Linked DNA regions of Lepisosteus oculatus. The protein of the gene in region 1 interacts with the protein of each later gene in a pairwise test. Links are inferred from orthologs where the notes say so. Each region holds a gene or a part of one and is shown on either strand. Other genes may lie near its edges.

Region 1 (7,395 bases):
CAATCCGAGCGCCACTTGTTCCAACCTGGGTCATGTCACTAGCCCAGTGCTAAACTGGCCAAGAGGTGCCAGAGATATGGTGGGAGTTAGTCAGGCCAGGACTCTCTCAGCTCAAAGTGACCTCTGTGAACCTCCTGGGCACCTGCAGATCGGAAGTGATGTCATAGAGGGGTGCACCTCTCCTCCAACCAATGCTGAACTTCCTGAACGAGGCTGCATAGCCTGCGAGGTGTAAAAATATGAACAGCTTGAAAGCAGGTGGGCTGTGGGAGTCTGGCAGCATTTCCTCATTCTTGGGTATGGCTGCAAGGCTCATAGCTGTAAGCTGAGACTTGAAAGCACAACTGTCAATTGCAAATCGGGTGGGCGGACATCACAAAAATATGTAAAAAAATTTCCCAAAAAAGACACAAAATACTTCAAACAACTTTAAAAAATCTCATGCTTAGGGACACTCCCTCACTATGATGCTGTAGAATCATTCTACCTGCCTCCCAATGCACCTGGTCTCACACCTTTTTTGGAGTTATTTAGGAATAAAATTAAAGACCCCAACAACTAATAGCGACTCACACCAAGTAGGGATGTTGCACAGTAAAAACCTGTACTTCATGATCAGCCAACACATTTCATTAAATGCATTGCACAAGAATCTGTAAGCCCTCTCTGCACTAAAGAGCACTGCAGTGCTTAACTGCTGTACATCAGTCATTTTCAACACAAAGAGGCAGTGATTCACATACCACAATAACAGATTTCAAGCCTTGTCTCAGATTTTCTATTCTAATTCAATATAAAATCCAGAACCTTCTGTGGTTTCTAAATGCAAGTTAAAATTAAGTATTTAAGGGAGTAAACATTACCTAGCCCGGATTTTTCACCTTTCCTGGATTTAACTCCCTTTAATCCAAAACTATACCTCAAGGCTTTCTGTAATGAAATGGTCTTACGGTGATATTCAGTTAGTTCCACTGTGAATTGGCTCTAACCAGCAAGCACACATTGCGTGATTGTCAGATCTGCAAATATAATTTCCTTCAGCAGAACAGCACAGAAAGTCATGCAACTCAGCATCTAAGAAACACCATTTCCCTTAATTTACTCCGGGAGATGGTTCTGGCGTCCGTGTGACCCTGCATCAGATAACGCAGTGGGATAAATGGAACTCAAAGTGAAGATAATTGTGAAGGAGTTAGGTTTTCTGTACACGTATTCCATTCTACACAGGAAGAGACAACTGATGCCATCTACAAGGGCTAAGTCAACAAAACCACACCTCCTCACTCTGCCAGACCTAAAAAAAAACAATCACTACGTGCCTCAATAAGCAAACGCAACGCTTACAAATCTGCCAACACAACCAGCTTTTCACTGAGCACTCTTCGATGCGGTAGCAGAATACCAATTGCACAAGAGCTGAATAGTATAAAACAAATCCAGGTTTCACATTATTAAGCATACTGGCACTGTTGGGGACAATGAACTATTTACAACGAGAGAGAAACTGAACTGCATTTGCTGCCTCACTTCCTGGAATTGTGTTATGATGGAAGATTTTATATGAAACCCATGATCACCTGCTAGTACCCATGAAGAGACCGCACACATTAGAATTTCGTCTACAGCTACAGAGTTCAGTGCTTTATGCGCATGTGAAGGGCTTTTAAATCTGAAAAAGAAAACGAATTACTCTCAGCCCTGATTAAAAGGAGCTGCTTGTTCTTCCAACAACAGGTCCGAAAGCCCCGGATTAATTTGCTAGCAGCAACCAGACCGCCTGGACGGGCCGAGGCGAGCTGAACACCCTCCTCGAGAAATTAAAATGAAACGTTCCTCGGCAGCTATAGGGGTCCTGCTGCGTTTTTTTAACACCCACGTCTTTCTACCAGATGAAACGTAGGAGTGCTCTACACGGTGCTGAAATTCACGTCGCTAGAGGGGCATTCTTAGACGCTTCTCCAGCGCGCTGCACCCACTACCCACTAGCTAAACCATCCTGATGCGGCACCAGACCCGATTCGGGTAGGCGCTAGCGTCATTTCACCCCCACCCTTTTTTTTTTTCGCCACAAGCGTCACGGCAGTGCCTCCAACAAAAGGCCGCGACGATAAAGATCGTCACGAAGCAGCTCGGATCGGCAAGGCCCGGGCGAAATGTCCTCCCAGCACCGGCAGCCGCGGCGTGCTGACCCCCGCCCTGCCCTGCCCTCCCCTCACACCCATCTCCGAAAACTCGCTTCTCCCATCTCATTCATTTCTATGGGCCCTGCGCGGCGAGATCCCGCCCATGACCGAGGCCTTAGCCCTGGAGGGGAAGCCCTGCGCAGGCGGAGGAGCGGGACCCGAGCGCCGGCCTGTCCCCTCTTCCGCCTCCCTCCCCTCCCGATTGCAAACACGACCCGCCGGGAGCGGCTGGCAAACATCTCGGGGCGCGATCAGATCAAATACCCCTCCACGCCCGACTGCTAAACGGCTGCTCAAGTCACCCACCCCCCCGCCTCTCTTTTTCCACGGCAGCTCTCGATGACATTTTCAGATGGCCTACACATGGCGCTTGCCTGCACGGCTCGGGGAGCGGGGAGTGGGAGGTCTGATCTGCTGCTGCGAGAAAAAAAACCCGGTTCCGCTCATTTTAAACCGCCAACAGTCCTTCGTAAGACGACAAGGGCCCCGATTCTCCGCCATCTTTAACCAGGGAGGAGGTATTTTTAACCCAGCCTCAGTCGGGCACTCGGGCTTGGAGCAGAGAATAAGCGGAAGTAGCCGGGGAAAATACTCGTATTGCAAGACTACTTAGCCGTGCGGGAGCCGCTTGCTCACTATTTTCCCGTCCCCCCTTGGGGCAAGAGAGCTGCCAGTACGCTACGGTTTAGTGCAGAAAGCTGTAGCGGCTTACCTTGATGATCCTGCGGGGCAGTCCTGCCATCTTGTCGTAATGCGGTTTCAGCTCTGACTCTCTCGCTGCTTCTCCTCTCACTTGCATTCACGGCGCTAGGGCGCAGTCGCACGGCTCTTCCGGTGAATGCCAGCACTGCCTCCCCGCATGCATGCCGGGTAATGTAGTTGTCCGGGGGCTGAGCGGCTACGTACACGCCGGGAGACGTCAAATGAAATGAACTACACGTCCCGACAGACGCCTAGGTGGATCACTCCCGTACTCCACGCCGAGCTACAACTGTTAACTACCATATAATGCATTAAACGGACCCAAAATGCACATCAATAACTGACGTTTAGAGGACTTCTGTGATGTGAAAGCTAATATTCATCACTTATGTTGACGTCTTAGAATTTCCCCGCAAAAAGGCAGTTTTATAGTTACCACTACAGCCACGGCATATAAGGAATAATACAGAATATTATTCCTTATAAGGAATATAATTGCAGCACAAAATATCTGCTAGATCATAATCTTAATATAAATAATATAATTAATAATTAATATAAATAATATAATTAATATTATTTACATTAAATAATAATATAAAACGCAACGTTGTGTCTCCTTCTCTTCTCAGCATGGAATAAACCTTTATTTCTTTGCAGCTGACGCAGCTACCTACTTGAACTAGTTTGTAAACTGGCTTCATATAGAAATATTTTTTCATTTTTAATCAGTTTTTCATCATATGTATATATTTGGCAGTAATTATTAGGTAATTATTTGAACCTATGTACAGTTTTATCACATTATGTCTTTCTTCCTTTTAATGGATGGGGGTTATAAAATAAGTATGACCCTTGAGAGATGGACTTAAGTTTTGTTGATGGCCTGCAAATATCAGCTTGTGTTTCTTCTTGAGTACAGTGGGTAAAAGAGATTTTTTTAAAGTGCTTCCACTTAAAAGACTAAAATTCCTCGACTTAAATATTCCTTTAATACATCAGCCTTTTCTCTTCCCTCATTTAAAACTTTCCGTTCCCTCAGAGCCAGTTAATTTTCTGTTGTCATGCTAGAAAAATAAACATTTACATTCAGCCTCAATTCCATTTTTCATTTCCATCTCTCTCCTGACATTTCTAAAATCCTTTCTTCACCCGGTCACACTGTCCTTACATTCCTTTTCTCAACCGCATGCCATTCTCCTCTGAACATTTTATAAAGTGCACTTATCCTCTCAGAAGTTTTCTAGTTTTATCTGCGAGAGACTGCCACCAATACTTTGGCTCCTGTAAACAAAAACAGTTTCAGAGCAAGTATATCTCGCAATTTTTTCAGATGGGGGTAAGGAATTCTCAGATTTCTCTTCTAGACCTTTTTTTTGGTCAAATGTCTAAAACTTAAGTACTCTTAATTCGATTGGCATGTTATTTATATGCTGTCAAGGAACGATTTTGGTGTTTTTCAAGTATATAGCAACTATATTGCACTGCCTGAGTAGGCTATACACTGTGATGCTGAGGGACAGAAAGACTGTAGATGCTTACAATTAACTAAACCATATATATCTTAAGCTTAAATCTTTCAGACAACCACAACAATTTTGTAACAGCTCATTGAACTTGAAGTGCACTTGAACCAGTCAGATCAAATCAGGAAAATCAGTATTTTGGCCAGTGTACGTATTTAAAGGAGGGATCAGATAAATATTTACTTGGCTGCCTTTAATCTAAAATGACTTGCACATGTATCCATTCATACAGCAGAGTATAAAACTGAAGTATTTTGGGTGAAACAGCTTAATAAATAGTCCAACAGCAGTGTCTTGAATCATATTTGAAGCTACAATGTGAATTTCACCATCTAGACCTCTAACCACTGCTACATATATATATAAAATAAATAAACAATCCACCATTGTGTAGTAAAGAATCACATTGCAGAGCTCAGCCAAGTCATTTATGTATAAGCACGTGTTGGTAATCATTTACTACCACTTTGTGAGATCTCACTGAACTGCAGTCACACATTTCACAAAAAATCACGTAAGTTGCTTTGGAAAGTGATCAGATATTTTTCTGAATTCACATATGTCATCATAACAAGAGGTGGCTCATAACTTGAGGTATTCCATTCATTTCGTATCTAAAATAGGATTTTGCACAGGAATGAGAAATAATAATAGTTCAAAGAAGGTCAGTAGTACTAATTCCATGTTATGTACAGTATATTACAGAAGAATTAGAAGGAAATTATAAGTTTCCTTATAATATTTTAAAATATCCTAGCTTCATTGTTTGTGGTTCCAATGTTGTGTGCCTTTTAACAGCTGTTAAATGAGTGTCAAATGAATGTTCTTGTTACTTTCATGACCTAGAGAATGGACATATTTTCAAAGGATCTTCAGGACAGCACTCAAAATCATTTGCAAAACATACAGTAAAGCAATTAGAACTGCAGTTTTTATTCGAGGACTTCAAACATCTTCACAGACAGCACAATGTCACCATTTCTTGAATGTCAGCTGTGTTCAAGACTATCTGTCTCTGGGAGGGTCAGTCTTTTTACGTCGCCTGTGGTACCTGAGAGGAAATAAAAATAAATTTCAGAAATTGGTCTCTGTGCAATATCTCACTCAGCAGCTACACCATGAATCTGTTTGTCAGAATTAATCCATCAAAGTAAATCACTTAATCTGACTGAACTGAGTTAAAAACAAATTTGAGGAATAGGTCTATTTTATCACTTTCTCCATCCAAGTTAAAATATACATTTTGTGGAACTGGGCCCTTCAAATAAAAAGGTTGGACTGCCACACAATTTTTCTACTCAAATTTTCATACCACAGGCAGACGCAAAAAACACAATACTTAAATGTGTAGTTCTGTGTACTTTATTAACTGGAAGAAATAAATAATTCTATATATAAAAATTAAAATAACTCTGAAAAATATGGGAGCCTACATTAGAGATTATCTTTTGTGTAAAAATTAATAGTATATAAAAACAAAAAATATAGTATTATACTGACATGCAATTACGTCATGTAATTTATCAGAAATTGCCACACCCCCATAAGGCATACAGATGTATAGGTTGTGATCTACTATGATCTACTTTGTTGCATACTGTACATTTTAACCTTAATTCTGCAACCAGCATATCACACTAACAGCACACAGCAATAAAAAACTAAAACAGTGTGCAATTCTTTTCAGGCCTTTACAGGATATTGTACTTACTGTCCTACTGGGTACCAGCGGTGTTTAGTGGTGTAGAACATCTTGCTCAGCTCTTCAATGGTGGGCGCCTGTTTATTTCGCAAAACTTCTTTATTCAAGTGAGCCTTCAGAACCTGATCATGTGTTTCCTCAGGTCTGTTCAGGGGGTCTGGTTGAGGGATAGGCTAGACCAGGAATAATAAACAATGACGTTTTGTGAAGAGCAAAATTCGCTTAAATTGCACTGGGAGGTATTCATTTTCACAACCCGTTCTTATTTAAAGAAAAAGAGCTAGACACACATCGTGCTCTAGACAAACAAATGCAACAGTGCGGCCATTTCCCAAATGATTTTAATCTAGATTCCATTCCATAAGTGTTGAGAAGAAGCTAATGTTGCAAAATAACGTTCCAACAGGCCATAGTTGTGCATTACAATTTACAAGGAGCATTTCTTTTCCACCCTGGCTAAAACTGGTAACTCGCAGACCAGCCCCAGAACAATGATCTCAGGAAAGGAGTGAGAGACCACGTTTCACTTTCACTACTAGAGCTGCTTCCTGTGGTACCGGCCTTCTAATGCTGAAGACTGGGCATCAGCAGATTGCAAGAAGCTGCACTTTGCATTGCATGACTCTGGGGTGCTATTAATTTTAAATTTAAATTTAATACCAAATTTAAGTCATGCCTGGAAATGTTCTATAATTGAAATGAGCTTACCACCCGATGCAAGAAAATTTAACAAAACCAAATGACATGACAGGCACCCGCAAACCTAGGACCATGGTAAGATCCACTACCAAAAGCGACCTCGCGCCAAAGGTGATACGGTGCTTAAATAGAATTCACTCACTTGATGATGTTACTTAATTTAACCGTCAGCTGTATACAAGGTTACATTCAAAACTGTCAATTAACTTTAGAAGAAAAATATCAATCAGCATAATCAATCAAGACAGAAATCACAACAGTAAGGAATACGATCTAAAAGTAAATGCTACAATGTGGGTCTTGATATTGTGGTGGAAGGTGATCAGATATGGTGCTGTCCTACAGTAAGTGCATAAGACACAAATGCACCTAGAAAAACACCAAGCTGGTGCTCTGACTGGATCTGAAAACCTTCTGTTGCAATCTGCCTGTAACGCGATTTGCTATTATGATGAAGGTGATGTCCTGCAGGGTGTACCTGGGTGTGTTCGTAGGGGACGTCCACTGCAGGGTGGTAACACACTATGGTTCTGCCATCTGATGTCAAGGCAAGGTCCACTTTGCTGTGAGCAATGGAATAAAA
Region 2 (7,306 bases), on another chromosome or scaffold:
ACCCTTCCACATCCTTTCCCAGATCACCCCTGTCACCTATCGTCTTGCCCTCCCTCCAACTGTCAGGGTGCATCCCTCCTTCCACGTTTCTCTCTTGAAACCCTACCACAGATCTCCCCTCTCCCAACCTCGACCTCCTCCACAAATCATTGACGGCCTACGTTCTTACACAGTTAACAAGATCCTGGATACCCACTGGCTCCGGGGCCGAGGGCAGTTTCTTGTCGACTGGGAGGGCTATAGCCCTGAGGAGCGTTCATGGGTTTACGAGGGAGATATTTTGGATCATGGCCTCATTGATGACTTCTTCCATGAACGCTCAATGGGGTCATCAGGAGCCGACCCTAAAAGGGGATACTGTCACATCCCGCACTCGCCCTCGCAAACCCCACTACATTCCCAAACGCACTGTTTCATGCTCTCACTCCTAACTGAACCAATCACATTCTCACAGGCACCAGATTCCACAGATTCTCACTCCTGAACCCATTACACAACCATGTTCCTCTCCCTTCAGTATTTAAAGTTCCTTCACCAAACCCCGCTCACTATTGTAAGGCCTCTTAAGTTTTCTAGTGCACGGTATTTTCTTGTTGGCTTACTCGGCTTTTGGATTTGACTTTTCCCTTTTGATCTCACTTTTTGGATTACGATTTTGGATTGTTTACCTCTTAAACCGGCAGAGCTCACAGCTATGCATAGGATCCTCGGACAACTACCTGCTCCGAGACACCCTGACAGAAAAGCATTCATAACTTACTATTCACAATCAGCTTCCTGAGTGCAGACATTCCTGCCATACTCTTTCCCAGAGTCTTCTACAGCTATTAGCTTTAAAAAAAAAACATCCTCCAAATGCTGCTTAAATGCGTGCTTTGCCTAAGATTCTCCATTTGTTATTTTTTAGTCTTGTTTTATTTCATCAACATCTTTATTCTTAAAAGCAAGCTTCCTCATATTTGTGGCATGTTAATGTCTTTTGTTATATAAGTCTTATTATTTGGACAGACCTTTATCTTCCTTGTTGGAATAATTTATTGCACAGAAAAAAACAGGCACTCGGTAGTAACCATTATGTCATTAATAGCTTTAAATTTTTAAATAAAAAATAAAGGTCTTCTTATTCAAGAAACATTTGTTTCAAAAAATTAATATTAATGGAATTCAGAATCTGGATGGTTCCAGATATTTTCAGCATTGTTTCCATCTCCATTTACACATATTTTTTAAATACCCATCATTCCATAGAAAATAACTATTTCTACATTAGGATATTTCATAGAAAATATATTTATGAACATGCAATTTGAGTAAGAATATTATTTTTTTCTGTATATGATTTTTTTATTCAAAAGGTTAACTTTTTCATGTTTTTTTGTTTCCCTTGTCATTCATTAGAAAAGAACAATCAATCAATCAATTTTTTATTTAGTTAGGATTTTCTAAGTATTGGAATACTTAATAGCAAAGATAATCATGGTTTTATTTCTGTTAAGGCTTATAGCCTATTAAATTATTTTTTCCCCATTATAGTCTATGGTCATTCAATTTTGTTATTCGTTTTAGTATGTCACTCGTTTAAAATGTTTCGATCTCAAGTTGATCATGATGAACTAATTCAAGTACTGATTTTTCTTAATGTTTAATCTTTATTAAAGTCCTTAACAATTAAACACTTAACCTCCAGAAACTTGTTACGGGAACAAAATGAACCAATTTATTTTACCACAAATGTTAACAAGATCATTGCCGTCTTATAACGTTATTCGATTATTAAATAAAAATTAATTACATAAAATCTAAAGGGTGTTTTAAAAGGAAAAATATGAAAACCGAGACCGCGTCAAGAGTGAATGCTAAATATAAAATGTTCACAATATCATACAGCCATTATTGTAATTGTCACACGAAAACACTGATACTGTATGTTTATATAATTTACTTTACATCGGTGTAATCACTGACAGAAATCTGCAAGTCTTTTCTGGGAGGAAATAAATATATGTATCCTTTGCCATTACCTTTATAATGAAGTGAACAAAACACCAGCGACATCATTTTCAAAAACCGTAGCTTTGATACTACAATTTCTCAGAGGCACAAAGGTGGAACACATCTGGGCGTACAGGCGATTACAGAAAATCTACACCAACACAATCACCTCGTCTCATGATAAAGCCGTGCATTTGCCTTAAAACCCACCTACACCCAGCAGTTTTTTTCAGTTATTATTTATAAACGTGAACAAGTTACTATAATTCTATTTTCGTGCAGTTAAATGTTAACATTTAGAAGTGCTAAACATTAAACATCGCTAAGGAAAAAGACATTGCAAACCAACCCAAAAAATAATTTACATTGTTACCAGTCCTATAGACACCCAAAATCTAGAAAATTATCGACAGAATGCATTACAGAATGAAAGAAAAAGTTCAGTAAATGTAAGTCTGTCTTCAGGTAATCAAGCAATGCTTGGCATTTTTATAGTACATGCTATATATCGTATATATAGTACATAATATATGATTATTTTCCTCGTATATTATCAGAACCGAAATATGCTTTGAATTGCTCCAGTATTTGGTATACTCTTTCACTGGTTACGCAGTCATCTAAACGTCTGGCTTTGCTTCACTCTCTCTTGGCTTTTCTCAGGAAAAGAGTGTTGACACGAACCAGAAACACTAAGAAGAGACACACACTGAAGGGAGGGCTAACAGTCACCTACCAGCTTACTATGCCAAACAATCCTTTCCCCTGTCATCTTTGAAGCCTGGAGAAAAACGCAGTGAAGGAGAGCTCCTAGCCAGGAAGGAAAGCAACACAAACGCAGTCTCCGTGTGGCGTAGCAAGAACAAATCTGACTGCTGATCTGCTGGTTAGCAGCACAAACACTGGCTGCTCAGTGAAAAGGCTAAGGTTTTGAATATGCAACTTCAGAGAAAAAAAAAGAGACAGACAATCGCAGGAAACCGGCTCCTCCCACCCATGCAAAAGGAAAAGCAAAGGCGACAGAGCTGGCGCATAAGCTGCTCTACTCTCCGAAGAGGGAAGGATGGAAGTCCTATCCCCTTCATAAATGTAAATGTCAGGTTGTTAAAGACTCAAAAGTTAATTAGTAATGGAGAATTATGAGCAAAGAATACACCATTCGTAATATTCAGAATAATGAAAGCTATAACTAGTCGTCTTTCGTGAACAACCATTTAGACTACGTTAAAAACACGACTCAACGACATTAAAAATAACCGGGAAAAATAATTACAATGAAGGTCATCTATTAGTAAAACTGACATATATTCAAAACAGTGATGTATGAACTCTAACAATTATTTGCACACAGTGCTTGGTTTCATCGCATTGCAAAACGCAGTTGGATGCAAAACGAATGCATTGCAAAACAATGCTAATCAGATAACCTTTGTTTTATTCAAACCTTCACAAAAGTAAGTGTTCTATAGGGCCAGAACTTACTCAGGGTTTCTGTAGTGGTAAGCAGGCTGAAGAGCAAAAGAATGCCCCGGTTTAGTCCTAAACCTACAATGCACAACCCCCCAGTAAATATAAGAGCTATTCATTCATGCTGCTGGATCAAGTGAAACAATCACAGTACCTTGAATTATTAGTGTACAGTACATAACAGTACTGCAATAGTTATTATTGTGGCAGCCTCGCCCGGTGGTGAGGAGGAAGTGCTCCCAGTTACTGAGGATATCACAGCACTGGCTGGGAGCTGTAGCCGGGAATTGTCGTAAGATGACCAGCAAATGATCCTGCTATTTAAATAGACATGTGTTAACTAAAGTGTTCTCTGAAGTTTAGTGTTCCATAAGTTAATTGTGTAGAGTCCGTTAAAGAGTTACCACCCTAACCTGTGTATGTGTACCATCAGTCCCCTAATGTGTGTGTGTAAATCCTAGTTTTTGGTTTTTATTGTGAAAAAAAAATAAAAGTAGGTGCTTGTGTGCCTACACCATCTCCTCTTGTCCTTTATCCTGAGTGAACCTGTAGTCGTTACAATTGGTGTCAGAAGCGAGCAGGATGGACAACCCGTGGCAGATGTAAGCAGACTCTGTCAAGCGCCAGCAGACCCTAAAAGAGACCGGACCCAGCATCAGCGAACACCTGGAGCCTGAGCAACTCCTGGGTGCAACGGTTGGCCACAGCCCTTGCAAGGGCTGCCCAGTAGTGGCCCCGCCTGGGGAAGCGGAGTGAATCCCCACTACTCCTGTCCAGCAGACACTGCAGAGAGGGGATGCGCTTTCCTCAGGGGCTGGCCAGCTGTTCCTGCACCTTCCGGTGTGGGTACAACCCAGTCGCTTTGATGGGGAAGCGTCATGGGAGACGTATGAGGCACAGTTCCAGCTTGCGGGCCGAGACGGAGCTGGCGGCGGCGCTGGAAAGAGCAGCCTGCCAGGTGCTCCTGGATTTCCCAGAGAAGGAGGGGGGTTGACTATGCAACGCTCTCCAGCTACGCTTCGGGGTGGAGGAGGCACCGGACCTGATACAGGAGAGGCTGACCCTGTGGCGGCGCTGACTGGGAAAGCAAGTGGGCTCGGTCGTAGCTGATGTCTTCTTCCTCACCTGCCGAGGATACCCAGCATTCCCCCGGGAGACGCAGCTGGAAATGGCTCTCCAGGCCTTTCTCAAGGCCCTCTTACCCGAAAAGCTGCAGCCCCACTTACAGCTGGCCGTGTTCGGTGGGGCTGGCAGCACCAGCAGATGGAGTGTGCCCTGCTGGCTTACCGAGGCAGCGACAGAGGAGTCCAGTGAGGGGGAAGAGGAGCCAGCTCGTGCAGTAACCCCCGCAGAGCAGCCCCGCAGCTGTTTTGTCGATACTGTGTGAAGAGGGGACACCGGGCCCCAGAGCTTTGCACTCCGAGGTCGGCGTCAGGAAATGGGAGCAGGATAGCTCAGCATAGGGACGGCCACCCCTGAAGACCTCAACCCCCGATTCAGAGAGCACCGCGAAGACTGGTGCCCCGTACACCACCATGGGGCATGTAGAATGAAGCTGGGGCCTGTACCTCCACTGCCAGATCGAGGACCAGCACTGCCTGGCCCTGCTTTACACCAGTTCATCGGTAACCCTACCCCGGCCTGGCATCTTCCCCGACACCGAGGGCACCAATCCCCCAGGATGGGAGGCCACCGACCTGCGGCTGAGGACCATGACAGGACAGCTTGCCGCGATCCGGGGCAAACAGACACTCTCCATCCGTCTGGGTGCAGCGACAGTGTGCCCCCCTTGCTACCTAGCACCCATTCAAGAGGACTGCATCCTGGGGTTGGACCTGCTGCAGCAAGTGGGGGCCCCCCTCCAACAACACCAGGTGGGGGCTCCGATAAAGCGAGTAGGGGTGGATATTTTGGGCCCGTTTCCATGCACTGAGTGCGAGAACTGCTACGTCCTGGTGAAAGTGGACTATTCACCAAGAGGCCTAAGGCCTATGCCTTCCCAGACCAAAGTGCCCCTACGGTTGCCGATGTTTCACTGGAGGGATGTTTGCCAGGCTGGGGGTACCAGAGGAGTTATACAGTGACCAGGGGTGTAACTTTCCTAGTCCTAGGTCTTTGCCAGGGTGTGCCAGCACCTGGGGATCTCTATGACACAGACCACCCCACTGCATCCCCAGAGTGATGTGCTGCTGGAGCGGTTCAACTGGATGCTTGCCACCCAGCTGGTCACCCTGGTGTCCCAGCATCAGTAGGAATGGGACCGCCACCTCCCCCTTGTGCTCTAGTCGTACCGGACTGCGGTCCAGAAATCTACCTGGTGCACCATGGCCTCGCTCATGCTGGGCCAGGAGATGTGATCTGGCCTTTGATTCCCCCGCCCTGAGATGGGCTAGCACTGCCGGCCAGACCGATGTGGGACCTGCAGCAGTGGATGTGGCGAGTGCACAGCTTTGCTCGAACTCACCTGACTCAGGCAGGGATCTGGCAAAAGTGGCACTACGATCTGCTCTGCAGGGGGCCTGCCTTCCAGTCCGGGGTGGCACTGTCCTGGGAGTGACCCGCTGAGATCCTAGGGGTAGTGGGCAAGGTTTGTCACCGTGTCCGGTTGCGAAAGCGGGGGAGAGTGGTGGTCCTACACCGAGACCACCTGGTACCCTACTAGGTCGGCAGGGAGGCTGACTATGGGGAATCCGCTCTGCGGTGCAGCGGCCGCTCACACAGGGTTCCACAGCCATTAGCTGACTATGAGTACAGCCTGGTATGAGTCAAGTGGGGGAAGTGTAGCGCCCTTGCCCGGTGGTGAGGAGGAAGTGCACCAAGTTGCTGAGGGTATTGCCTCACCAGCTGGGAGTTGTAGCCAGGGGATGTCTGGGGGTCCATAAGATGACCAGCAACTGACCCTGCTATGTGAATAGACCTGCGTTAGCTAACGTGTTCTCTGAAGCTTAGTGTTCCATAAGTTAAGTTTGTAGAGTCAGTTAAACAGTTACCACCCTAACATGTACCGTCTGTCCCCTAATCTGTATGTAAATCCTGTATTTTTGTCTTTGTTGTGTAAAAGGAAATAAAAGCAGGTGCTTGTGTGCCTACACCGTCTCCTCTTGTCATTTATCCTGAGTGAACCTGAAGTCATTACATTATCTACATGTATTTGATCCTTAAATATATTATACACATACAGTGGTGTGAAAAAGTGTTTTTTCCCACTGAAATGTTCCCACTGAAAGATCATCAAACAAATTGAAATATTAGACAAAGATAACACAAGTAAACACAAAATGCAGTTTTTAAATGAAGGTTTTTATTATTAAGGGGAAAAAAAATTCAAACCTACATGGCCCTGTCTGAAAAAGTGATTGCCCCCTAAACCTAATAACTGGTTGGGCCACCCTTAGCAGCAACAACTGCAATCAAGCGTTTGCAATAACTGGCAATGAGTCTTTTACAGTGCTGTGGAGGAATTTTGGCCCACTCATCTTTGCAGAATTGTTGTAATTCAGCCACATTGGAGGGTTTTCGAGCCTTAACCGCTTTTTTAAGGTCATGCCACAACATCTCAATCAGATTCAGGTCAGGACTTTGACTAGGCCACTCCAAAGTCTTCATTTTGTTTTCTTAAGCCATTCAGAGGTGGACTTGCTGGTGTGTTTTGGATCATCGTGCTGCTGCAGAACCCGAGTGCGCTTAAGCTTGAGGTCACGAACAGATGGCCGGACATTCTCCCTCAGGATTTTTTGGTAGACAGCAGAATTCATGGTTCCATTTACCACAGCAAGTCTTCCAGGTCCTGAAGCAGCAAAACAGCCCCAGACCATCACACTACCACCACCATATTTTACTGTTGGTA
Region 3 (7,472 bases), on another chromosome or scaffold:
TATCCCACTTGAGAGTAATCCTTTAGCGCATGAATCTGACTATTTAGAAGCCGAAAGGAATTATATTATTTTAAAGCCTTTTTGAAGTAATCTGCTCAACTCCAAGACCAAACTAATGCCAGGCACCGAACACCAATCAGACAGATAAATCAAAGTTACCTGGCCATATTTTAAATTGCTGCATTCATTTGCGTGCTTTAGTCACATTTTGAAGGAAATCACCAAAACCTTTACTCAATTTGGAATCCTTTTATAATCCCGTAACAACTGAAAGAAATTTACTCTAAATAAAAATGCAATGCACGTTAAATCAATTCAAAATAATACAACTTTCTCGTAATGGGTTACCCACAAGGAGCATTAAAAATGCATATCAGTAATAATGTATCTCATCACTATTGTTGCATTTTGACGTTTTAAGTCTATGGAACTCCTATAGGAGGATGACTACTTCCAAATATGCTGTCAGCTCCTGTAGGCTTAACGCAACGTCTGATACCAATTCTTTACTGAGGGCTGTGGATCAGCTGTCATTTGAAAGACTCTTCCGTTTGTAAACGTTTAATAAACGATCAAATAAAATTAATTCCGAATCACACGAATGGTGTAACGCCACATATCATATCTCACAATATTAAACCCAGAAGTAAACGGTGCCAATAATTAAACTCTGGCTTAGGGCAGTATAAACAACTTTCTCTGGATCGTAATTATGTTGCAACCTCAACTTAAAGATAGATTTCTTCCGCGACTACTATGTTACACATTCAGAACAACAGCACGGACACAGAGGAAAGCAAACCACATGGCTCATCGCAATCTTTTTCACACCCCCACAGCCGGCACAGTAGGAAATCCCTGGGAATCTCCCCTGGAAAAGGGCAGTTCCAGCTAGCACGTCGACCCCCCCTGCGTGTGTCTGGGAGCAAACCCCATCTCCTTGCACAAACCCACATCTGTGGGGACGCAGGTCGGGCACGCAGACTGGCAACAGGGCCAACTTACAGAAACCACCACCAGCACCCACCCACCCGCTCCTGCTTCCAGTCTTGCTGGAAATCGGCTGTCAACCAGTTTCAGTCTGGGACTCCTGCTCCAGCCGAAGACGGTACTTTCCACACGGCCGTCAACCCCCCCACCTGATGCACACGAGTTTCCTCACGCCCACCAGCTTTCTGCTCCGTCTCAGCTGGCTCCTTCCCGATCAGAGCAGGAGGGGGTGTGCCTGTTTATTGTGACAGGGGGCTCAGGGCTCTCGAGTTTGATCAAAACAGGAGCCGTGCGGTTTTGCTCGAGGTCGCGTCCTTTCGAGAGGAATGACAGAAGATGAAAGGCACGACCTCCCTTTTTTTTTACGGCCGGGGCTGAAGGGGGCTAAGCTACACACCTGGTGGGGAAACCAACACCGTTTTGATGTTGGGTGTTTGTGCGTGTTCGCTGTTGTCTTTGAAGACAACCAACCACCGGGACGCATGATCAATCTCAGCCCTCAGAAGTGAACAGGTTTTTTTTTTGTCCGCTCCCTTATCAATCCAATATCAACCAGAAATTTCCAGTTGGGTGCCCCCCCCCCCAGCTCGCAATAATTCGTGCACTGTTGACATAACCCCCCCACACACAGGCCCAGGCCAGCTGATAAAACTGTGGAGTAAAACTAAAGGTCAAGTTCGTACGCGAAACACTATGCGCACTAACTTCCAGTTCACCAACAGTTTTCCCTGCGCAGTTACGCACGGTATAAAACAAACAACACGTTGCACAAGTGCAGCTGGTACTGAGGCGCTACACACACACACAGGCAGGCAGGCAGACTCCGGTGGAAATGTGTTGCTGTCGAGACACAACCCGGCTCTGCTCTTACCTCCGAAGAGATGCGGCGAAAGGTGAGACGGCAGCGAGCCGATGAGCAGCCGCGGCGCGCCGTGACCGCCGCCGGTGCCGCCGTCCTCCGGGGTGCTGCTGCCGGACTCCTGGGAGCCGCTGCTGGGGATGTTCAGGCCGGCTTGGTTCAGCGACTGGGGCCTGCTCCCGGTCCCTGACCCCGCTCCGCCGCCGCCCACCGACCTCGTCCTGGGGCCGAGCGGCTGAGCCGCGGCGGCGGCGGCTCCCGAGGCCCCGTGTGCGGAGGCGGGCTCGTAACCGTACCTCAGCGCCGGCGTCCTGCCGTGCCCGGGCCCGGCCGAGGTGCCCGAGGGCAAATCCGAGCCCGAGTAAGCCCTGGTCCGCCCGTTGGCCGCCGGGCTGCTCTGTTTCGCTCCCATCTGTCAGCTACCAGTCCAGCCCGGGGACTGATGATGAAGTCTTGAGCGGAGGTGTTGCAGGGGAGGGAGGGGGCACTCACAAGCTGTCCAGCCAACTGAGAGGAGTTCCCCCCCGGCTGTGTGCGCCGGGAGAGCAATCCAGAGCCCGGGCAAGGCAGTGAGGGAAATGTTAATAGTAACACCACACAAAAAAAAGGAGAAAAACACAATAACAACAACCCCCGAGGCTGCCTGGCACCGCCAGGAGTTAAGGGGGCCGGTGGAGGGGGTTGTTGGCTGATGGTGAAATTAAAACAAAAAGGGGGAGGAAAAACGTCAGGTAAGAAACTCCCCCCTGCCGGGATATGTCAAAACAAGAGCATCATACAACAACGGCGACAACGAAGGGGGGAAAAAAAAACCCCAAGAAGAAATGTTCAAAAGAAATGTGCCACGGCGATTATTCCCCGACACCGTGCGTGTGCGCTCCGGGCCGCCCGGCCCCCGCTGCTCGCTGCTGTGCTGGAGTTGGCGCTGGCTGCCGTGCCCGTCTCCGCCGCCATGCCTCGTCTGCCTCGCCGGGGAAGGGAGCCGGAGAGGCGGCCGCCGATACACACACACACACGCACGCACAGAGAGAGAGGGGTGGGGTGGGGTGACGAGGGAGGCGGGAGGACCGAGAGCAGAGACGGTCATGGAGGGAGGGAGAGGACGCGGCGGCCCTGCCCTTTGTGCGTCAGGCGACGTCGGCACCGCCGGGGCACTGCCCACCCGGAAACCGCCGGCCACCGCTGCCATGGCACCGGGCTGGGGACACGCGTGATCCGGGGGCGGGGCTGCTGTATCTGTCGCGCCCCACGGACGGGAATGAGCTGCCCCTCTCGCCAGGTGGCCCCGTGGAAAAAAGGACCCTTATCTTACGCTTTTTAGCTGCCAAGTTACGGTACTGGCCGGTACTTTTTCATGCACAACATGCAGCAGGAAGCCTTAGAGCATGTCACAGAGCAGTTTGAACTAGCTGAGACGATCTGTTAAGCCATTACGTGGAGGAAAAGTTAACAAAAGGTCTTTTGTTTACACAAAACAGGCACGAATGAAAATGACGTAAGCCACCTTTTACAAACTACAGCCTCTTCATTTCTTCTCAGCACAAAGCTTGCTGTCTGTCACCTCTTGAAAATAACATACAGTAAGTTCGAGACAGACAGAAGCAACAGGTCAGGAACCATATCTCTGAGAATCTCAGGTCACTAAGCCATGAAATCAGACTCTCTTCAATAAGACACACTTTCAAGTCTGCAGATGGGCAGGCTGGTGGGGACCGATCTGTGTCACTGGGGAAGTAGTTTGAAAGATGAATTTAACCCGTATTTAACAGTAAACCCCTTAATAATTGTAACCAACAACCATAACATTTGAATTTGAAAATGTGTATTGTTTAAACCACACAAACATGAGTCAGTTTTGTTCTCATTGTGTCATTAAACAATAAAACATGGTTAGTTAATTTTAAGATATTCCATATACAGTAGTTACATTATATTCCAGCACAAGCAAGTGAGCAGATGTGAGCAGCACGGAAACTTCCCATGAATTAAAACTGAATCAATTGAAATGGGAGCCTCTGAGAGGCTTTCCTTTTGATTGCTGCCTTTTTAAAGAGTGGAGCACCTACAGCCTGTAGGAATCGCAGATGAGGCTTGAGCGATGTTTTGCTGAATGCAGCAACGACTGAGTCGCACTCATGAAGTCTCTATGGGCCTTCTCTTGCACAAAGCAGAAGCATAGAAACACTTTGCCTGTGGCACGAGGTTCAATTTTGACGCATGTCTCAGAGCTCTCCTGGGGCATTGGTTCTTGACTGTAATTTCACTCACTGTTTAGGGTTTGCAGTTAGTTGTTGGTGTGACTTGTTTCACAGTATTTTGTGTATTCCTTTTTGGTTACATAAAGTTAAATAAAATAGAATACACTGAGATCTATTTTGTACACTGAGGAAATAGGAAGGGCTGTATGTCTAGAGAGCTGCAGGGGAATGTGCACCACTAGTTGTGTTCCTCTAGGCTCTTCATTGCTTCCTCTCCCTCTTCTCTCTCTTATAAACAGTTTTGAGAAATCTTGTCTGGTTTCTTACTGGTTAGCAGTTATAGCCTTGAATGAAGATATTCATGGTTAAAGAACCTGGGCTATGAGAAAAACTGTTCGTTTCCAGAAACATAATGTGGCTTGTGTAGCATAATATGTATGACCTTTGTTATAATATGTGTTTTAGCAGGGTTTTTATTCTACATGGATACCTGTACAAGTAGAAACAACAGAGAGTCACATTATAATATGTGCACTGTGAAGAGCTGAACAAAATACACAAGAATTAATCAAACAATAACTAATGTTAATAAGAATAACACATTCAGTCATTTTTCAGTAATTCATGTATGGATTTTGTGTGGAAACACATTGTTTGTGAATTTATACATTGATAGGATCCTTACTGTGCTTTAAAAAATATAGTCCGCATAAGGAAAGGGCAACAGCTATCACTGACTTCAAACAGCGCAAAGTTCCGACACAAATGTGAAAAATGATTATTGCTGTGAGCACACTGAATGCAACAATATAGCATTGTCCATCTCCTGTATTTGCTTAAAACAGAAAAGTATTGTGAACCTACAGACAGCAATTCACACTGTATTGAAAGAACACTGAAAGAAAGTCTGTTCTTTTGATTCCAAACTCATTTCCAAACGATGAAAACAATGAATAAGGAAAATTCTTCATGCTGTACAAAAAAAAGGTACTTATAACTCCAGCAAAAATATTCTTGATGTGGGTGCACTGATTTATTAATGAAATGCCTCAAAAGGTTTACGGTTTAAGGATCAGTGTTTTAGATTGTTTTAAGGTACTGGTTAAGAGGTGGTAATGTTCTTCCTTACCACCTCTCAATAGAATGGAATACTCTGTTCTAGTTACAAGTTTTTAATCCATGTTCTCTGAGGAGATCTAGAGGACTGATGTGATTGGGCTTCAGGGATTATACTCTGATCACAAAGTAATTGAATTTAGTATCCATTGAACAGGGACACCCAGACTCAATTCTATTGATAAAGGGCCTGTATCCTGAAATGTATGAGTTGTTGGTAAAGAGTAAGATGGTGTGTTGTTATTCTCGAAAAAAGCCTTCAAATTCAAGAGCAGGAGCGTTTCCAGAATCTCGGCTGGCACTGCGTGTTATCAATAGGGACACTGCTCTTCTGATGTGTAAAATTGTACCAGCCTGAGCTCAAGAGACCTTAAATGTCAACTGTGTCAAGTACAGCAGGAAGCTGACAGCTACATTTCTGTCAGTGTCCTGCAGCTCCCCTCCAACTGACTGCAGCAGCTGTGAGTTTGTAGTGGGTTTTTAGTGTGGGCTTGCAGACAATTACAGATCATACACAATAGATATGAATTATGTCATTAGTGGCGTACCACAAGGGTCTGTACTAGAAACACTGATCTTCTTAACTGATATCTAGATTCAGGTCCAGTATAGTTAGTAAACTCGCCCACATTTACAGATGATACCAAACTAGGAGGATCAGAAAACACAGTAGAAGTAGTAAATCAAATTTTTTAAAAATAAAATAAAATTCAAGACTTGGCCAACACCTGGCAGATGATGTTTAATGTAAACAGCTGCTTAGTTATGCCTGCAGGTTGTGAAAACATAAACTGTAAATATGTCATAGCAAATGCTGAGCCAGAGGAGGCTGCTTATGAAAAAGACTTAGCTGGTCACTTACTGTACAAATTCCAGACAATGTGGGGAGGCAATGACACATGGAAACAAAGTGCTGCAATGTACAGTATAGCTAAAAGTGTAGAACTTGAATCAAGGGATTCTGGTCTAGAATTAGTCTAGAGAAGAGAACCCCGAGGGATTCTGGGGCTTCAATTAAAGTCCTACACTGACAGGCTGAAGGAAGTGGACAAGTCCCACAGAGCACACACTGCGGGCTGTGCAGATTTTTCCAAGTTGTTTGAAGAGCAATTCGCAAATTGCAGACCATGTTTATCTAACATAATACATTTTTCAGGTTTTGAACTGGCTAATTACTAGAGAACAGTACAGATATGACGTGTGATTACTCCACTGGCGGGCAATGTAATTAGCGGAGTACCATAATAATCTGTATTAGGATTGTCGCTGTTAGAGTTGTACTGCTATAGTGCATAACTACTTTACTAACGCACTAGTAAGGTCTCGTTAAGAATACTGTACACAGTTTTGGCCGCTGCTTTATTGATAATATTATGCTGCTCTGTAAATAGGTCAGGAGAAGAGCACCCAGGTGCTTTCTGGGGTGTGAGGGAAACTCCTACACCGACAGGCTGAAAGAACTGGGCCAGTTTAGTCTTTAACTAAGATTGCTGCTACAAATATTCAAAATCCTCCACGGCCGGGACAAAGCCCATTTCTTCAGAGTGAACAGTGAGACACCAGGGAAAGCACATGGACAGGCAGTTAGAACTGAAAACTGGAGCTGCTATTGTTGTGCCCTATCTACCTGCTCTCCATTTCCAGTCTGCCTTAGAGCTCTGGGGTCTGTGCTGAGTACACTGTGAGGGTGTGAGGATTTCTAGTCTGTAACAAGTGCTGGAACGACGAACTGGAAGAATATGTGTCAGGCATTCCTGAGAGCGCTGCACCAGGCCACCGTGAAAAACTACAGCTGAAAGGTATTATTCTTTACCAGCCCTCTGCTGATCTCATATTCTTCTTTCATTTATATCCATTGCTTGATATGCCCTGTGCGTCTCTTGTTTTCTCCTTCTTTGCAGAAATCACTCTTTGGCTTCGCTATCCCAGAAAAAAAAACAGGAAAAAAAACTCTGTCAGAGTGGATGAGTCACCTTGGAAAATAACAACAAGCTGGAACAGAGAATCCATGAGGGCCAAGCGAATACAGAACACGTAGAAGCTAGCAATTCAGAAAGGGTGACGGTATAAGATGCAATGGTTCTTTGTATATTAATGAATGGCTAATTCTTTATTGGGGAGTGTGATTCATCGTGTTATAGATAGCGGCAATTTTTGATGATAACTTTAAAAGTGACAAAGATCCTTATTTCTGTGCGCAAAGGCCATGATACCAGCTACCACTCATCCCCAGCTACGCAGGTGTATGGGCCTCACGTCACACCAGATGTCTGGTACAATGCTTTGATAATAGCAGGACAGAGCTCCAG
Region 4 (6,973 bases), on another chromosome or scaffold:
TGTCGACGTCACGGTACACATCCAGCGACAGCGCAGCTATGTCATGGGAGCCTTCGTCTGTGTCGACGGTACACTGCTTGCTCACCACCTGCCCCACGTCCAGAGGCTCCGAACGTTCGACCTTCGCCAGCTCCGGATCCTGCAGCTTCAAAAGCGCGGGCAGGTTGCTTTTCAAGTCCAGCTCCTCGTCGTCGCCGGCCTCCTCCAGCAGAGCGATGTCAGCCTGCTTGATCTTCATCGTGAGATAGTCGCAGCGGGACACCACCTGGACCTCGGCGATGTTCAGCAGGTAGGTGTGCTCCTCCAGGATCTGGGTGTTGAGCTTTTCGATTTCGCTCAGCGAGGAGGCGAAGGCCTTACGGGACTTCGTCAGCTCCTCCTGGAGCCTGAGCTCCGCTTTGGCGTACTCCTGCTGCACGGCCTTGTATTTCAGCCGCAGGGACTTCGAGATGCCGTCGATCATGGCCTTTTTCTTCTGGATATTCCCCATCGTCTCCCGCAAGATGGCGAGCTTGGCGCCCACCTCTTTCCTCCGCTGCTCTGCAGCTGAGCGGACAGTCAGGACTATGTGCCCTTGGTGCTGGTGCCCTTCTGCTTTACAGGCATCGCAGAGCACCAGGCCGCAGTCCTTGCAGTACTGCCTGGGCAGCCGGTTCTTGCAGCCTTTGCACATCAGGCTGGTCGCCGAGCCGGAGCTGGCGCAGTCGATGATTTTCAGCACGGTCAAGTTGTCCGCCAGCTGGGAGATGCTGCTCATGCGGGAGACTTTGCTGCAGAAGGGGCAGCGCACCCCGTTGATGGTGCTCGCCAGCAGCTTCTCCAGGCAGAGCCTGCAAACCGTGTGGCCGCACTGCAGGAGTTTGGGGCGCAGCTGCTCCCGGTTGAAGGTCTCCAGGCAGATGGGGCACTCCAAGACCTCTCTCACCACGTCTGGGTCCAAAGTGGCAGCCGAGGCCATGATCCTGTAGCCAATTCCACCTGGCGAGGAGAGGAGCAAATGAGATAAAGCATAATTTCCCCGTCTGTGATCTGATGGAACTCAATAATAAATGCACTGCACTGTGGAATAAATCGTCCTGTTTTGGTAATGCATTTGTATCTTTTAAACTTGGAAGGAGACTACGATGCACTTCTGTATAATGAACTGATGCGTTTTGTAATGTTCCTAAGAGTAGCATTAAGCATGGTTTACACAAGAGGAGGCCCATTTTGCTTGTTTCGTTTTTCTGTAGCTAAATTATCCAAAGATTTCCTACAGCCTTTTCTTGCAAAAGAAAAAACCAGATTGTTTGCTTGAGCAGCTTGTTCCACATTCCCACATCCCTTTGTAAAAAGAATGATTCCCCATTCTGTCTTAAACGCACCTGCACATACAATAGCTCCCCGCTCATAGCCTCTGTAGATTCTGAAGAAACCTGCAAGGTTGATTCTGCTCTGCCTTCGCAGATTTTAAATACTTAAATCAACCACTATTCAAAATGAGATGGGTAAATTCAGGCTCAAAGAACTGACTTACATTGTAAAAATCGCTCTCAAGCCCCATACTTTCTCAGCTTTTTTAAAATTCCAAAGTACCTAGTGCTCATGCAAAGTGGAGACTGCAGGAATGATAGCAACTACCAACAACTAAACGGGCTACATGTACCGAATTGCCTCCTCCTTCATATCCTTTCTTATGTTTCGTACCTTGGTCCAGACCAGTCTGTATTTGCGCGGTGCGACTACTGCAGTGGACAGCACTTTAATCAAAAGGCCGTAAACCTGAATACTTCAGACTCTTCTAGGCTGGACTGCAGCTATATTAGCAAGAGGGTAGGGGCTTAGTCTAGTGACTGTCTGCACCACCCTGACTGCCTGCAGTGCCCCTTTAAATTACGCTGCTGAAAAATGCCAACCAGAATGATTTTGTGATAATGAGGGTACAGCGACTGCACCAACGAAAAAGCATATCAATGGCTATATCAGTTAAATGTCTTTAAAGAAAGACGCAATAGGCGGGATGAATCGCTCAAAAGCTGCGGATATTTTAAGCAATTCTGGAGCATTCCGTTTTAAAGTATATTAACGTCTAATATTGTCATTTAAGAAGAGGATTTAGGGATAGTGCACGGATTTGTAGAAAGGGGTAGTCGCAAGCAAAAAAAAAACCAAAACAAAGTAAGATAAATACGAAACCAAAGGTGTTGATGGTGCAAATAAAACCATGACGTCCACTAGCGACAAAACAGCAATTCTAGTGCAAACAGCGGCGAATCCACGCCGGTGTTAATTTACCGATAAACTAGCGAGGTATTTGCATGAAACGATGTTTCGACTTAATCGTACAGTAACTGGGATCGTGTGCCTTCTGTGCCAAGAAGCAGTAAGCGACACCTTGCTTAGGAGGCCTCTGACGGCAGTATCATCTTTACAGCACAGAAAGCACACATACCCCGGCTGCTTCCGCAAAGCGGGTTGCATTAACGAAATGGAGATGCTACACAGCTGGGGAGCTGGTTGTGCTCTTACCTGCACTTTCCGTGCCAATGTCAGATCCCCAGGCCGAAAACCCCGCTCCCGGTTGTGCCAGGCAAGACTGCGGCTCGGGCTGTGACGTCTCCTGAAACTTTATTCCCTCCTTCAGAGGTATTTCATTGGCCTCTCCGTACGCAGTGCGACCCGTTTCTCAAGACGATTGGCGGCGTCAAGCATCAATGAAGCAGGAGAGAGCAATTGTCAACAGCAGTCACAGTGCGACTTCCTGGGATTTGAAGTTCCTTGTGAGGAATTCCTCGGGTCCCAGACTTTCTGTTTTTCCCCCACACCGAGAATTTACTTGACACTGCTTTTAGATGTTTCATATATAAATATGTCCAGAGCACATCCTTCGGTTGTCTGTTTTTTTTTTGTTCTAGCTGAGTTCTCGATTACTTACCTTAAATTCACAAGGGACATTTTCCAGTGTCAGACCGTTCTCGACCTCTTCCAGCTCGTAAACAGGTGCAGCTGGTTCAGGTTGGTGTTTAAGTAACTTGTAGCTCAGCTGGAAAAGGAAAACAAAAGAGAGAGTTTCAGAGTTTTGCAAGTCTTTTTTTCTTGATGAGGTGACGACTTAACGTATTCATTGTATTTGCATTAGTACAGAATAACGCTTTTCATCCCAAAGAATCCTGAAATACTTCATAGGTAGGATGAGACCGATTTTATTCACCACTGAAGTGCAGCAACCACCTGGCTCATTTGTGCTACATTCTGCAGTCCCACAAAAAAAAAAAAATACAAATGGATCTTATAGGTGTTCAAAATCCCCAAAGGCGTTAACAAACTCAACCCGGTGGACTTTTCAGAACGAACGGTGAAAAACCGAGAAGTAAAATACGTACTGTAGCATGTAAGTGTATTTCCGAGGATAGGAAGCACTTTCTTACCCAACGGGTTGAACTGTAGGAACACAGAATGGCCTCCCCCCAGCTGTAATTAATTAAATTAAGGAAAACCTCAGACAGAAGGTCCAGAGTGGAATTTAGCCATGACACCTGTTTTGTTTGTGGGAAGAGTTTGAGGACAGACTCGACGCAACGAATGACAGGACACACACGTACAGGTATTCTGAAGGTAAATGCATGGGTTTAAGAGAAAAGTAATTCGTCCGTTGAAGGAAATTAAGCAATGGTGGGAAGCCAATGATATGCAGTGAGCCTTTTACATAATGCTGTAACACATCAGATTCCCTTTGGAATAAAAAAAAAATGGACGAAATATTGCCCTTCGCGATTTGTCTTTAATCTGTATCATTGACATTTTGAGGTTGCCCCGTGTATTTTGAATTCAAAGTACAGTACGTTTTTAGGTATTTTAAAGCCAATATAACGTGTTGTCACTAGATGGCGGTAGGAGCACATATTTTGGTAGCATACAGTCTTGCAGCCGTAATAAGAGATTGAGATATTAGCGTCTGTTGGAACGAATTGATAGGAGTACTTAACATAGCAAATCGCGGATTTGTAGCTTTTTAGACATAACGGCAAGCTGTACAATTGTAATGTGGGACCTATTGGTAGTATACACATTTTTGCATTGATTTGTATGCGTGTTAAAAGGAATTATTTAGTGTATTTGCCTTGTTTTTGTGGAACTGGTGCGTTTTGAGCACGTGATTGTATTGTATTCAGTCATCAAACTGATCATTCCCATGTAGCAGTGTGTACTTTCAGGTTATAATACAAGATTTATGTCTAATGAAGTTGAAAAAATGCTTTGGGTTAGGTGACAAAGGCTGTGTATGGGATTTGTTGTCCATTGGTGTAGATCCTGCTCATGAATTCCTCATGAGAATTACTGAATACCATATCATCCAGATGAGTTCATCTGAGCGAAAACAGTGTATTTAAAATGACAGCATGTGTAGCTTCTGAGTAACGCAGCCAGTAAAATGTACTAAAAAAAGTACCATATCAAATTAAATGTATTATTAATCTTTATTATAAAAATGACTGCTTAGATTGCATCCTGAGACCTACAGTCCAGACATCTTTAGTTCTAGTCCAGTATACTCGATTAGCTGACTGTAACAGCTCTGTTAACTTGACACCACCGCAAACAGCACAAATAATGATGGTTTGCTGGTCAGTGCCATTGAAAGTAGCAGCATTTGTGCTGCTTTTCCCCCCGAGATATAGTGCCTTATTTCTTCGGGGTTGTGACACTTGCACAATCTGTGACCTGTAGGGGGCCCGGGAGATTGCAGAGGAGTCTGTGAGAGCTGCGTCTCTCCTTCAGTCTTGCCAGATGCCCTTTAGAAGAAGCATGGGCTCCTGAGCATGAATAAGCCAGGATAGCTGTGGAAAGGGCATTTATCAGTCATAAGCAGATGGTGCCCAATTCAATGCTGGCACAAGCTTTATTGGGGAGAAACAGGGCTTGGTTTAATTGGAGGTTTATGTAAAAACAAAAACATGCTCAATATTTATTGAAATTATTGAAAATAATAAAATCCCATTCCCTTTTAACTTGACCTTACCAAATATCTCGCTTATCAGTTTACTCATTTTCCTTGTAGGGTATCTGGCTTGTGTTTACCCCAGCCAGTGCTAGGCTACACTTACCATACACGTCGGGATTATAGCTAACTGATTACAATCTGTGTTCTGCGTTTTTTACTTTGCTTTTTCTCTCTTTCACAGAAAGTTGTGCTGGTCAGCATGTGTGAGTAGCCTATAGAGTAGAGTAGTGAATCCCTGCTTCTCGATTGGTGGAGAGGATTCAAAAACATCCTGAAGTTTATGCTCCAGCTGAAATGTTTTAATGTTTCAGACAAATTAAGTTATGAAATTAGACAGACTTTCTGAAATTGACCTACTTGGCTTTGTTGGATTTGCTGGGCTGTAACCCAGACAAATATCCTACTCCTTGGTCATTATCTTTTTTTTCAATAATCTGTTTGCCCTGGAGTTAATGGATCATTGCATACAGTCCTACTGTTTTGGTAAAATTCAGCTGGACTGTGCCCTCAGAGGTCAACAGCTGTGAAAATAGGAAAAATTTTTTTTCATACCAAGAGTTACTATTAGGAAATAAAGCTGTTTCAGTTGAATTATGAATATTACTGTACCTCATTCTGTTTGATTCACATTAAATGCCACTTTTTAAAATGGAAAATGAAAGAGTATTCTCAAAGAAAAGTACAAACTGTATGCTAAATGAAATGTAATCCCATTTATAAGGTACTCAAAACTCTTTCAGGGCTAACAGAAACTTTGGAGGTGGGCGAGCAGTATTTCTATATGCGTCATTTGAAAGTGAAAGCAGAAATGTAGAGGGCATCGTCAAGGGCAAAACACAATTTTGGCGACCACTGATTCCGAGCACATTCCAGAGTTGCAAAATGAGGTTTACTACAGACTGTAGACGTCAAGAGTCATTTATAAAGACCTAATGGGATTTCCTACTTGGATTTACATTTCAGATATTAACAGAAAAAAAAATCTTTCTGGTAAAAATTATACAAAATTATGAATCTCCAAAATGTATAGATACACCAAGAATAACATATAGTATATAAAGGAAGAGAGATATTATAAAGGTCTTTCTATCTGTATGCTTTTCAAGATGGGTTTACAGCTAGACCTTGCTAGAAAGATACAATATGCATAGTTTGGTCAATATTAGCTAAGTAATCCAAAGATCTCATCCAGCCTCTTCTTTAAAGAAGCCAAGGTATTAGATTTGACAGAATTACTGGGTAGTTTATTCTGTACTACTACAACAATGTTTGTGCAAAAGTACATCCCCATAGTTTCTAATGTTTTCCCTTTGGTTCATATTTTTACTGTTGAAGAAGCCCAAAGTGTTGACTTTGTCAGTGTTTTTGAGGATTTTGAAGCGTTCAGATGAATCCACTTGTGTCCTTTGTCCATCCGAAACTGAAAAAAAAAAGTTTTTAGCATATCAGAAGAGGGCATTCCTTATTGCTCTCTTCGAGCCTGAGAATGTAACCGGTCTCTCTTCTATACTGTATACTTATTCCAGAGCAGCAAGATTATTTTGGTAACATAGTGATCAATATTGTGCAATTTTTAACATAATTGAACTTTAAATTCTACACTTTCTATATATAATTATATTATATATCCTAACATTATGTTTCCCATTTGTATTGCCCACATTATCTAAAAAATGAAACTGAAGTGTCAACATACAGTAGATACATTAGTCTTTTTCTCAAGCAGAAGAGCTAGTTCTACCCCAGGTACATTTTTTTAAATTATTTTAGACAAAAGTGAAGGTTTTAAAAAATCCCTTAAAAGCACCTGCCCCTACACCTCTCTACCCCTCCCAAAACAGTGCCTACTGCAGAAGAAACATTGAAACGATGTTTAGTACTAAATATCTCGTGTCATTCTTGGTCAAACATTACATTTTGGATTTATTTCAGCTATGTGGGAGCCTCATTCCCAAGCAAATGGATATTGGATTTAATTTTTGTTACAAGCAG

The links. The genes of interacting proteins can lie anywhere in the genome.
Region 2: the proteins of ubiquitin-conjugating enzyme E2 N (region 1) and mid2 interact in a two-hybrid assay, tested with the Homo sapiens proteins (2 studies listed by BioGRID). The link is inferred for Lepisosteus oculatus from reciprocal best matches to the Homo sapiens genes UBE2N and MID2.
Region 3: the proteins of ubiquitin-conjugating enzyme E2 N (region 1) and znrf2a interact in a two-hybrid assay, tested with the Homo sapiens proteins (4 studies listed by BioGRID). The link is inferred for Lepisosteus oculatus from reciprocal best matches to the Homo sapiens genes UBE2N and ZNRF2.
Region 4: the proteins of ubiquitin-conjugating enzyme E2 N (region 1) and trim32 interact in binary tests that used the Homo sapiens proteins (3 or more experiments, as listed by UniProt). The link is inferred for Lepisosteus oculatus from reciprocal best matches to the Homo sapiens genes UBE2N and TRIM32.

Annotation. Positions count from the first base shown.
Region 1 is NC_090702.1:52,389,816-52,397,210, forward strand, and holds the start of ubiquitin-conjugating enzyme E2 N, read right to left. Parts: upstream 3,014-7,395; 5' UTR 2,983-3,013; coding exon 2,896-2,982; intron 1-2,895. Other genes in the region: mrpl42 (large ribosomal subunit protein mL42), read right to left, coding at 5,417-5,462, 6,123-6,286, 7,291-7,375. UniProt on the Homo sapiens protein: The UBE2V1-UBE2N and UBE2V2-UBE2N heterodimers catalyze the synthesis of non-canonical 'Lys-63'-linked polyubiquitin chains. This type of polyubiquitination does not lead to protein degradation by the proteasome.
Region 2 is NC_090703.1:28,285,510-28,292,815, forward strand, and holds the start of mid2 (probable E3 ubiquitin-protein ligase MID2), read right to left. Parts: upstream 3,015-7,306; 5' UTR 2,729-3,014; exon of another isoform or gene 2,725-2,728; intron 1-2,724. UniProt on the Homo sapiens protein: E3 ubiquitin ligase that plays a role in microtubule stabilization. Mediates the 'Lys-48'-linked polyubiquitination of LRRK2 to drive its localization to microtubules and its proteasomal degradation in neurons.
Region 3 is NC_090705.1:41,643,891-41,651,362, forward strand, and holds the start of znrf2a (E3 ubiquitin-protein ligase znrf2), read right to left. Parts: upstream 3,015-7,472; 5' UTR 2,262-3,014; coding exon 1,862-2,261; exon of another isoform or gene 1,701-1,861; intron 1-1,700. UniProt on the Homo sapiens protein: E3 ubiquitin-protein ligase that plays a role in the establishment and maintenance of neuronal transmission and plasticity. Ubiquitinates the Na(+)/K(+) ATPase alpha-1 subunit/ATP1A1 and thereby influences its endocytosis and/or degradation.
Region 4 is NC_090719.1:11,226,111-11,233,083, forward strand, and holds the start of trim32 (E3 ubiquitin-protein ligase TRIM32), read right to left. Parts: upstream 3,015-6,973; 5' UTR 2,509-3,014; intron 979-2,508; 5' UTR 959-978; coding exon 1-958. UniProt on the Homo sapiens protein: E3 ubiquitin ligase that plays a role in various biological processes including neural stem cell differentiation, innate immunity, inflammatory resonse and autophagy.